Linked DNA regions of Bombyx mori. The protein of the gene in region 2 binds, or shares a complex with, the protein of the main gene of each other region. Links are inferred from orthologs where the notes say so. Each region holds a gene or a part of one and is shown on either strand. Other genes may lie near its edges.

What was found.
Region 1: the proteins of DLDH (region 2) and lipoamide acyltransferase component of branched-chain alpha-keto acid dehydrogenase complex, mitochondrial are in contact, whole or in part, in a crystal structure (PDB 3RNM), measured with the Homo sapiens proteins. The link is inferred for Bombyx mori from reciprocal best matches to the Homo sapiens genes DLD and DBT. Residues at the interface, in NP_000099.2 of Homo sapiens: Ser446, Thr447, Asp448, Arg449, Glu472, Tyr473, Gly474, Ser476, Glu478, Asp479, Arg482; in NP_001909.4 of Homo sapiens: Thr174, Pro175, Ala176, Lys196, Arg199, Leu201, Lys202, Glu203, Leu206.

Annotation. Positions count from the first base shown.
Region 1 is NC_085128.1:9,588,580-9,592,934, reverse strand, and holds the start of lipoamide acyltransferase component of branched-chain alpha-keto acid dehydrogenase complex, mitochondrial, read right to left. Parts: upstream 2,999-4,355; 5' UTR 2,777-2,998; coding exon 2,696-2,776; intron 1,612-2,695; coding exon 1,454-1,611; intron 909-1,453; coding exon 721-908; intron 1-720. UniProt on the Homo sapiens protein: The branched-chain alpha-keto dehydrogenase complex catalyzes the overall conversion of alpha-keto acids to acyl-CoA and CO(2).
Region 2 is NC_085128.1:7,019,220-7,023,730, reverse strand, and holds the start of DLDH (dihydrolipoamide dehydrogenase), read right to left. Parts: upstream 2,884-4,511; 5' UTR 2,814-2,883; coding exon 2,772-2,813; intron 2,423-2,771; coding exon 2,297-2,422; intron 2,173-2,296; coding exon 1,936-2,172; intron 1,445-1,935; coding exon 1,304-1,444; intron 1,016-1,303; exon of another isoform or gene 418-1,015; intron 257-417; coding exon 91-256; intron 47-90; exon of another isoform or gene 1-46. UniProt on the Homo sapiens protein: Lipoamide dehydrogenase is a component of the glycine cleavage system as well as an E3 component of three alpha-ketoacid dehydrogenase complexes (pyruvate-, alpha-ketoglutarate-, and branched-chain amino acid-dehydrogenase complex).

The DNA.
Region 1 (4,355 bases), about 2.6 Mb from region 2:
TGAAAACACTGGTTACGTCTATGAAATATTAGAACCCTTAAACTTATTTCTCGTGATTAACAGTGACAAATCATTCGTCTGGTTTTATACGTATATTATTATCTCTTAAGGGCTTTGTCAGCTGATTATGACGTCAAAAAATCTGGATTCATTTATTAAACTACTTTTTTTTTTATCACTAAAGATACACTAAAAGTAGGTGTTCAATCAGTTTTTCCAATATACTGGGAACTTCAATATCATCAATTTCTTATTAAGGTTGCTTATATAAAGTAGCCACTTAATACAGTTAAGCTATTACAGAAAATTATTATTTAAATAAATCAATAAAACGATTTTTTTTCGTGACGGCTTTAAACACCATAGCGCTGCTGCTTGTCGGTCGGTTTAGCATTCGCGTTTGTCATTTATACTTTTAATTTACTAACATTTTTTTTGTTTATGTCCACTTTATGTTGTAACCATACTTGAGACCTTAGAACTTATATCTCAAGGTGGGTGGCGCATTTACTCCAGTAAGCACTTAACACCAGGTGAGCTGTGAGCTCGTCCACTCATCTAAGCAATAGCAAAAATAAGATAAAAAACTTAATCGCGTTTGTGCAGAGAGTACGTAACGGTAGGCAGCGGTTTGGCACTGCCCTGTCATTGCTAACGTCCATGACTAGCCACTCACAATGCTCGTTTGTCTACAAGGGCAATAAAAAAAACTTAGCTTACCGTCATTTTCAGAGTCTTGCACGTCAATATCGACTAGGGGTTGTCCTACAAGAGCGGTCTGATCAATATCATGGTACAGTCGTGTTATGATACCGTCGTATCGGCTAGTGATGGTGACAGCTGCCTTGTCGCTTTGTACTTCGCAAATGTTGTCGAATTGTTGAACATTATCACCGACTTTGACGAACCTTGAAAGAAACACGAATATTTAGTTCCAAATTTAACAAATAAAATCAATTGAAGTGAATAATTTGACAAAAGGAAGTTCGCCTTTAGCACTGTAAATTGTCGTTAGCGAGATATTTGTCTTGGACTCAAAATTGATTAATCATTTGAATTAAAAAACTTGAAACTCATTTTCATCTGTTACCGCGTACAATTAAATGTTGGGTTATATTAAAATATAAAAGGCTTCGAAAATTAAAACACTCTTATTAAACTAATTACCTAATACATTCGACATAAAAGTTACGAAATGATTTGCGTGCTCTATTAGCATACAAACAATTGTTTGAATTTTTGTATAATACGTCGTCGTTTGAAAATAAGTAATGAATTTAAATATATTTTTGGCTAATAAACACGTAAGTAACACAAATTACAAATCGAGGTATAGGTGCTTGACTGCTTGAAATGAAAATAATCTAAATATTTAATGCAAAATGATAGGTTTTATTAAACTGGTAAGTTTTGTAAAATATAATCAAGTTTTATATTATAAGGTAATATTAACCATTCCTTGATGACGACTTCTCGTATCCCTTCACCGATATCAGAAAGCTTGAAAGCGACGATTTTGTTGACAGCATGACTGGTGTGGAAATGCCTTAACTCCTTGCTTAAGCTTTCATTCAAAGGCGTTTTGTAAGATAGCTGTGATCCGTTTCTCGCCTGAAAAAATGTTGGGACACTTTATCATAAGCATAACCTAATCAAAAACAGACATTGCAAAATCGCAGAATGATGATTGCTATACGACCAGAAGTCCTCAACACATGCAACACGGACCCCATTAATAATGTGAATACATTTACAATAAACTGGTAAGTGTTAATACCGGTAGTCCCACTTCACGTTACATATAAATTAGACGATTTCAAGTGAATAAAAAACCTTGCGTGTCCAGTATCGAAAGGGCGTAGTAGGCACTCAGTGTGCTTACTGCGAATTTCTTAACGCTCTCGATATCGTAAAAGTTAAGCCAATTTTGTATGCAGTTGGAACAGCGCCCCTGGCAGCAAACGTACGCTAACGATCCCATTCCATACAAATATGAGCTAACTTTTACGCTATCGAGAACGTTTAAAAACTCGCACTAGGCACAAAGATTCATTATAGATAGTTTTATTCTTAAACGCACAATAATGTCAACGTAAGTGTATGCCTACGTTTGCATTATTATAAATTGCGTATTACAACTATTGCTTAAATTTCAACTTCATCATATTATGGCAAGTTTTACATTATAATATGTTAAATATAATCACGTGTTTATGAATTTTAATATTATTATTTTTTGTTTTTACAATTATGACTTTGGATGAAGATAAATTTTCATACAAAAAAACATTAAGATTTGATGTTTTTGTGATTTATGTTATCTTAACTTTATTACCTATTCATTTAGTAGATAAAATTTCGCTCATATTAAAATTTCATAACAACAACAATTCTTGTTATCTTATCTTATTGCCACGAAGAATTAAAATTAGTTCAGATTTTATTTTAGCAATATTAGGTAATTGATATAATAGGTACTTCCGATAATGCTTGTACATCTAAGCGAATTAGGTGCTATGTGTAATGATTGTATTCTAACTATTATAAGTATTTAGGAATCTATTACAATATATGTATAATTTCATGGCTGAGCCAAAAGGTAAGTAAATACTAAAACGTCTTTGCATAAGGTTATTCCTATCTTTATTTTTTGTTGTTGCTATAAGTATTTATGATATGACTTCTTGTTACTCACACTTTGCGTCGTCACCTTGATTTTCCGGCACCGGTTCACGGTTCTCAGTTGGAATACAGATCTACGAACAAGAATCGACATTGCTATGAAAGAACTAAGAACACGAATTTTAAATAATTATAAAGAGCATGACGCGAGCCCTGTGTTCGGTCGCGATCACAACTGAGCGTTATCGCCTCATTATCAGTGGGCCACGGAATTGATTAACATTTGAGTAAATTATTCATTTAACTATGTTATTTCGTAAGTCGTACGACGTCAGTGAGCTGTGAGGTTAGCCGTACTAATGCATATATCTGGGTCGAGCCGGCATCGCTGCTTCAGTACGTACCATAACTTGACTCTTAGCGCGCATAATAACCAACTTGCGAGTTTTACTATTAGACTGATAAAGCAACTATGGAAAATTAAAAATACAATGGGTTTTAATGACGACATAGTCGGTGTTGTTTAGCAACAGATTTAAATAAGTTTTCACATTCTCAGTAAGAATGATGATTTACAATAAATAAAAAAGTTAAATATATAAATGCCTAGTAGTAAAAAGCCAGACTAAATAGCTTTAAGTGTTGAGGGTTATCGAGTAAATTGCAGAAAAAATGGTTTGGAAAAATGATTTAATCTGTTACATTGTCCAAAACATTTTAATGCTTTAAGACGAAAATCTTCAAACTGTATGTGTTTCTTAACTTACTTACGGCGGTATCGTAAAGCATTGATAACCTTTTAAAGGTTAGGGTAGAACCGTTGGCGACATACTGCCCAGATAAGCCCGTTCTGGAGAAAGTTGGGTGAGGTTACTGGTGGTTTACTGGTTTACTGGTGGTAGGACCTCTTGTGAGTCCGCGCGGGTGGGTACCACCACCCTGCCTATTTCTGCCGTGAAGCAGTAACGCGTTTCGGTTTGAAGGGTGGGGCAGCCGTTGTAACTATACTTGAGACCTTAGAACTTGTATCTCAAGGTGGGTGGCGCATTTACGTTGTGGATGTCTATGGGCTCCAGTAACCACTTAACACCAGGTGGGCTGTGAGCTCGTTCACCCATCTAAGCAATAAAAAAAAAAGAAGGTATATCCAGGTGTAGATATGATAATTGTTTCAACTGAATTATTAAAAAAAATATTGTCATTTTGTTTTTTATCCCATCTAACGTAACTGGCTACCATCACCGATGGATAACAGCAATAGAAGAGCCACAGACAGCCACGCAAAAAACTAATCACTCCACTTCAATTAGATCTTTCTTAATAAATATCAAATCAAGGGTATATATAATAAATGATACAATTTTATTTGATTACCGATTTGATAGGCTTGGTGATTTAAGGACACGGACCATTTATATACATATTTCACATACATTGAAATTTTATTTAATTTTTGGGTTTTAAAATTTAAATAATGAACATTACCTAGTTAACTTAAAATAAAATTTCTTACCTTCTTTTGCTTAGGTCATTTAGGTAAATAATATACCACTATAGGTATTAGGGATTCATCAAATAATTATAAAAATAGATTATTAAGCAATTCTTTTATTAAAGACACAATAAACATGTTTATAAAGTTGATAAATACATGAATATAATTAATAATCCTTACGGTGAATGTAGGTACTCTGACTCATAATATTGAAGATCAAATTACAAAGCTGACATTC
Region 2 (4,511 bases):
AATAAAGCGAATTAAATTAATAGTTAAATATGGGAATTAATAACAGGTACATATTTTATTATTTGAAATTTGACAAAATTATTATTTTACCTCCAATGCTAGTTAGGAATTCAATTGCAGTAACATCAGCACCAAGTCTTTGATAAACAGAACCAAGCTCCAAACCGATAACTCCAGCTCCAATCACCAACATTTTTTTCGGTACTGACTCCAAGGAAAGTGCTCCAGTCGATGTGATTATTTGTTTCTCATCAAACTGTATAGATGTGATTCTAGATTTTTAAAATTGTTTTAAAACTACTATGATGAAATATCATTATGTAATAGCTTCAAAATATATTTTTATTGTTCCAAATAAAATATCAGTAGTGCAAGACGAGGACTACGGGCATGACCTTTTTTTTTTTTTCCCACAAGAGAAAATCGCCGGATCCCCACCCGCGCGGCAGGTGGGGTATGTGGGAGTTGAACCTCACTAAAAACTCCTGCCGCTCACGACCGGCGCCCTACCTCGGACCGGGCCGGAGCCCAGTCGGGGCTATTGAAACGGCGGGACAGGGTTGACGCAGAGCACATTACATCCATCCCACCGTCTCACGGACGCCGGACCGGTGGCCGCCAGCGACAAGACCACCGGTTCCCCCGTTCAGCGGGCCGAGAGACGGGCATGACCTGGAGTGATGTCAAGGAGCAAGCGCAAAATAGGGTCAAGTGGATACAACTTATGAAGGCCCTATGCACCAGCTTGGTATCTTAGGACTATTACAACAAAAACAACAGTGCAGAGATATTACAACAAAAGCCGCAGCATCGCAATACAAAGCTATTTTTTAAATTAACTAATGCATACTACAATGCCCTATATTATTTTTAATTGCTATTCTGAGGCAGTCATTCCTGAAGAAAGTAGAAGAACAAAGTTTATTCATAAACTATTTATATAAGCCTGTTGTGAATTCTGGAAAATGTTTTATCTAATTATTCTATTATAATCTATTCTATTCTATTTATAATCACAATATGCTACAAGCAGTTTCACTCTTTTTTATTTAATCTTATATTTTGTAATCAATTAGAACACATCATGGCTAATTGAATTGACAAAAGCAGAATTCCTCTAATATGAGCAGATAAGAATATCAAAAGGGACTATTTTCGCAATGTAAGTAACTTTTTACCACTACTAAAAAGGCAAAAACCTATCTATTCTTGTATGATTAGTGTGAGGGCAAGAAAATTTCTTTTGTCAATTTGCACCTTTTGCCACTTAATAAAATAAACATATCTATTAAGAATAACTTACAGTAACTCCAGGGAAAGGTGTAACTTCAGACCCAGAAGCGATTAGAATATTTTTGGTATTAACAGTCTCAACACCCTTCTCTCCGTGTACTTCAACTTTATTTGGGGCAACTATAGTTCCTACACCTTTGACAAGATTAACCTGCAATAATGAAAAATTCAAATACAATAACCTTTTTTTACATACAACTAAAACAATAATAATATAGTTCCTCTACATATTGGAAAATGGTGTTCAATTACTAAGCCTATTATTTCTACCTATTATTTTAGCAAGACAACTGGTTGAATGATACTTGTTTACAGTGAAAAATAATCATGAAGTAAGCCTTTAATTTGTTTTTCATATACATTCATATACGCTTATATATGCTTATAAGGCTATAGATCTTTTAGTTTTAAAATGCAAAATGACCATCTTTTTTGCGATTGTGTATATCGCACATCTCTTGATTAGTTGTAAAATTTCTATTATTTATAAAACAAACTTAGAAAAACTTATATTGATCTAACTAAGCATATTAAAAGATTTGTCAGAGATCAAAATTGAAATAGTATGTGCTTTAACGTTATTAATATAACATTTTTTTTTAAAACTTAGTTAATCAAATTTCTGATAATGCTATGACTCACCTTGTTCTTCTGAAAGAGCATTGCAATACCTCCTGTGAGGCCTTTAACAGCATTAGCTTTATATTCCATCATCTTTTTGAAGTCAAATGTAACTTCACCAGTTTCAATACCCCTTTGCTTGAAGTCATGTTTGGCCATATGGTAAAGATGTGAGTTGTGCAGTAAAGCTTTTGATGGTATACATCCAACATTGAGACAAGTACCTCCTAAAGTAGGGTCCTTTTCTACTGAGACCACCTAAAGAAATCACCAATTTTTTTATCACTCACTCTAGGTTAATATTAATCTTTAAAAGTTAATTCTAATTGTAAAAATGTATAGCATAGAAATGATGCCCACAACATCTTTTTAATATTCAGACCTTCATGCCAAGCTGGGCAGCTTTAATAGCTGCTACGTATCCACCAGGGCCCGAACCGATAACAACAAGATCTGCATCATGTGTGGTAGCATATTGTCTTGTAGCAATTCGTACTAAACTTCCACTCTGTAAGAAAAAAACAGTACTACAATATAGAAATACAAGTTATAAATAAAATTTTAAATTAAATTACTACTGAGATTAAATATCAGAGCGTCTCTGATTATCGCCGAATGACACGATCACATGCTTGAAGGTCATTACAGGTTAATTATTTATTTTGTTTTTATTACCTCTAATAAAATCGAATCCAAAGATGAGCAAAAACTTTTTGTAGATTTATTAAATCGAATAATTTATGGTGTATTTATGTCTGTAAAAAACAGCTATACGTATAGGTGGGACCTATACCATTGCATAACTTCTGTGATATTGTAAATTTTAAGAGGAAATGATTATTTTTTTTCGTACTTACTCTAAAGGTAGGAGAGGCAAGTTTTAGAAATTTATAGCCCATGTTTAGCAATTTCTTTTGAATTTTTGGATTAAAATATAAAATCCGGAGCCCTGGCGATCGGCAGGCGGAATACGTCGAGATTGTCAAATGTCAATTGTGATATATATTTTTTTGGATTTTATGGCCTGGTATCTTAGACCTTTAGGCCAAAATCTTGTCAATTGTGATACTTGCTCCAGTGCTGCCAGCTTTATTTTAATGAATCCACAAATTGTTTTGTGTTTTGCCGGACAGATATTATGTGAAGTCCTAAAATATAATAAATTAAGAACTTAATTATCTTCAGAAGAAGGGATTCTTCTACAATTTCTGTTTTTGCAGAATAAATTTCTTTGGTCGCAATTTTTTGTACTATGCTATTTGGTAGTATGTAGTTATTGCATTGCATTTTCCTTCGCGTTTTAAGCTAGCACTGACAGTGAGAATTGAAGATAGCAAATCTAGCTTCATTCAGTTTCTGTTTTTTGTGTTGCCATGCTAATGCTAATGCTAAATAAATGCAAAATAATCGCTCTACGTCAGCGTTAGAATTCGGTAAAACTAATAAAGATATAGCAAATGTGTTTAAATATTGAAATCGGTTTTCTCCAGCCAACTTTTTGAAATTCAGTACCTTGTACAAAATTCCTTTGTATTTTGTTATTTTTCCAACTGAGTAAATGGATTTGATGCTCGGCAACTTTCGAAATATCTTCTTGCGTTTTTCAAAATAAACACCATGTCAGCAACCCGCTCTTTATTGTGAGATAGTGCATGATCTACACTAATTCTTTTAATATTTTTAATGAGTTTCAAGTTTTCGGGAAACCTGTTTTTTAGTTCAGGAATCAAATGTACAATGAACTAGATACACCTCTTACGTACTATTTCCTCTTTATTCGGTAGAACTTCTTGTTCTTTCATCGTTAACATATGAGATTCAAGCTGTACCCAAATAAAATTTCTTGTCTACAAAATCTTGATTATTTTACGTAAAAGTATCTACTTTCTGAGTAATATTATTTTGGCAATAAGTGTATCAATCAATTTGTCAATTCATCCTATAGTTTTGAATTATCTGTTTCTTCTGATTCAAATAATTTATTAATTCTGTTAATATCAGTAAGAATTGGATACATAGATGCAATGTCACGCATAATTGACGTCATCTGCATACATTATATGCAGTGATTCTGCTGTATAGCATCTTTCTTATAATTTGGTAACATTACATGCAATTGTGGACTCTATAGATAACCATTTAGTTTAATAAGATTGTACAATTTTTAACAGATCATTATCGTCATTGTTAAGTTGGTATAGTTCTATGTAGGCAGCTTGCCTCGGCAAAGATCGGATGAACCAGTCATATGTTTCTATAGCAATTAATTCGAGATTCCTGAATTAATATGGAAATCATTCTAGTGGTTCAGTTTCTCGAATCGTGGTCGAGGCGGTTGGCCAATCCCATGTGGGGCTTACGGACTGTCGAGGTGGTTTACCCACTCTTTGATGACTGGGTGAATCGTGGCGCAGGACACCTCACGTTTCATCTGGTGCAGGGGCTGCCCGGGCACGGATGCTTCGTGAAGTACTTGCACCGGATAGGAGCTGAGCCGACGACGAGGTGCCACCATTGTGGACACGACCTGGATACGGCGGACCATACGCTCGCTGTCTGCCCCGCTTGGGAGGTACAGCGCCGTGTTCTGGTCGCAA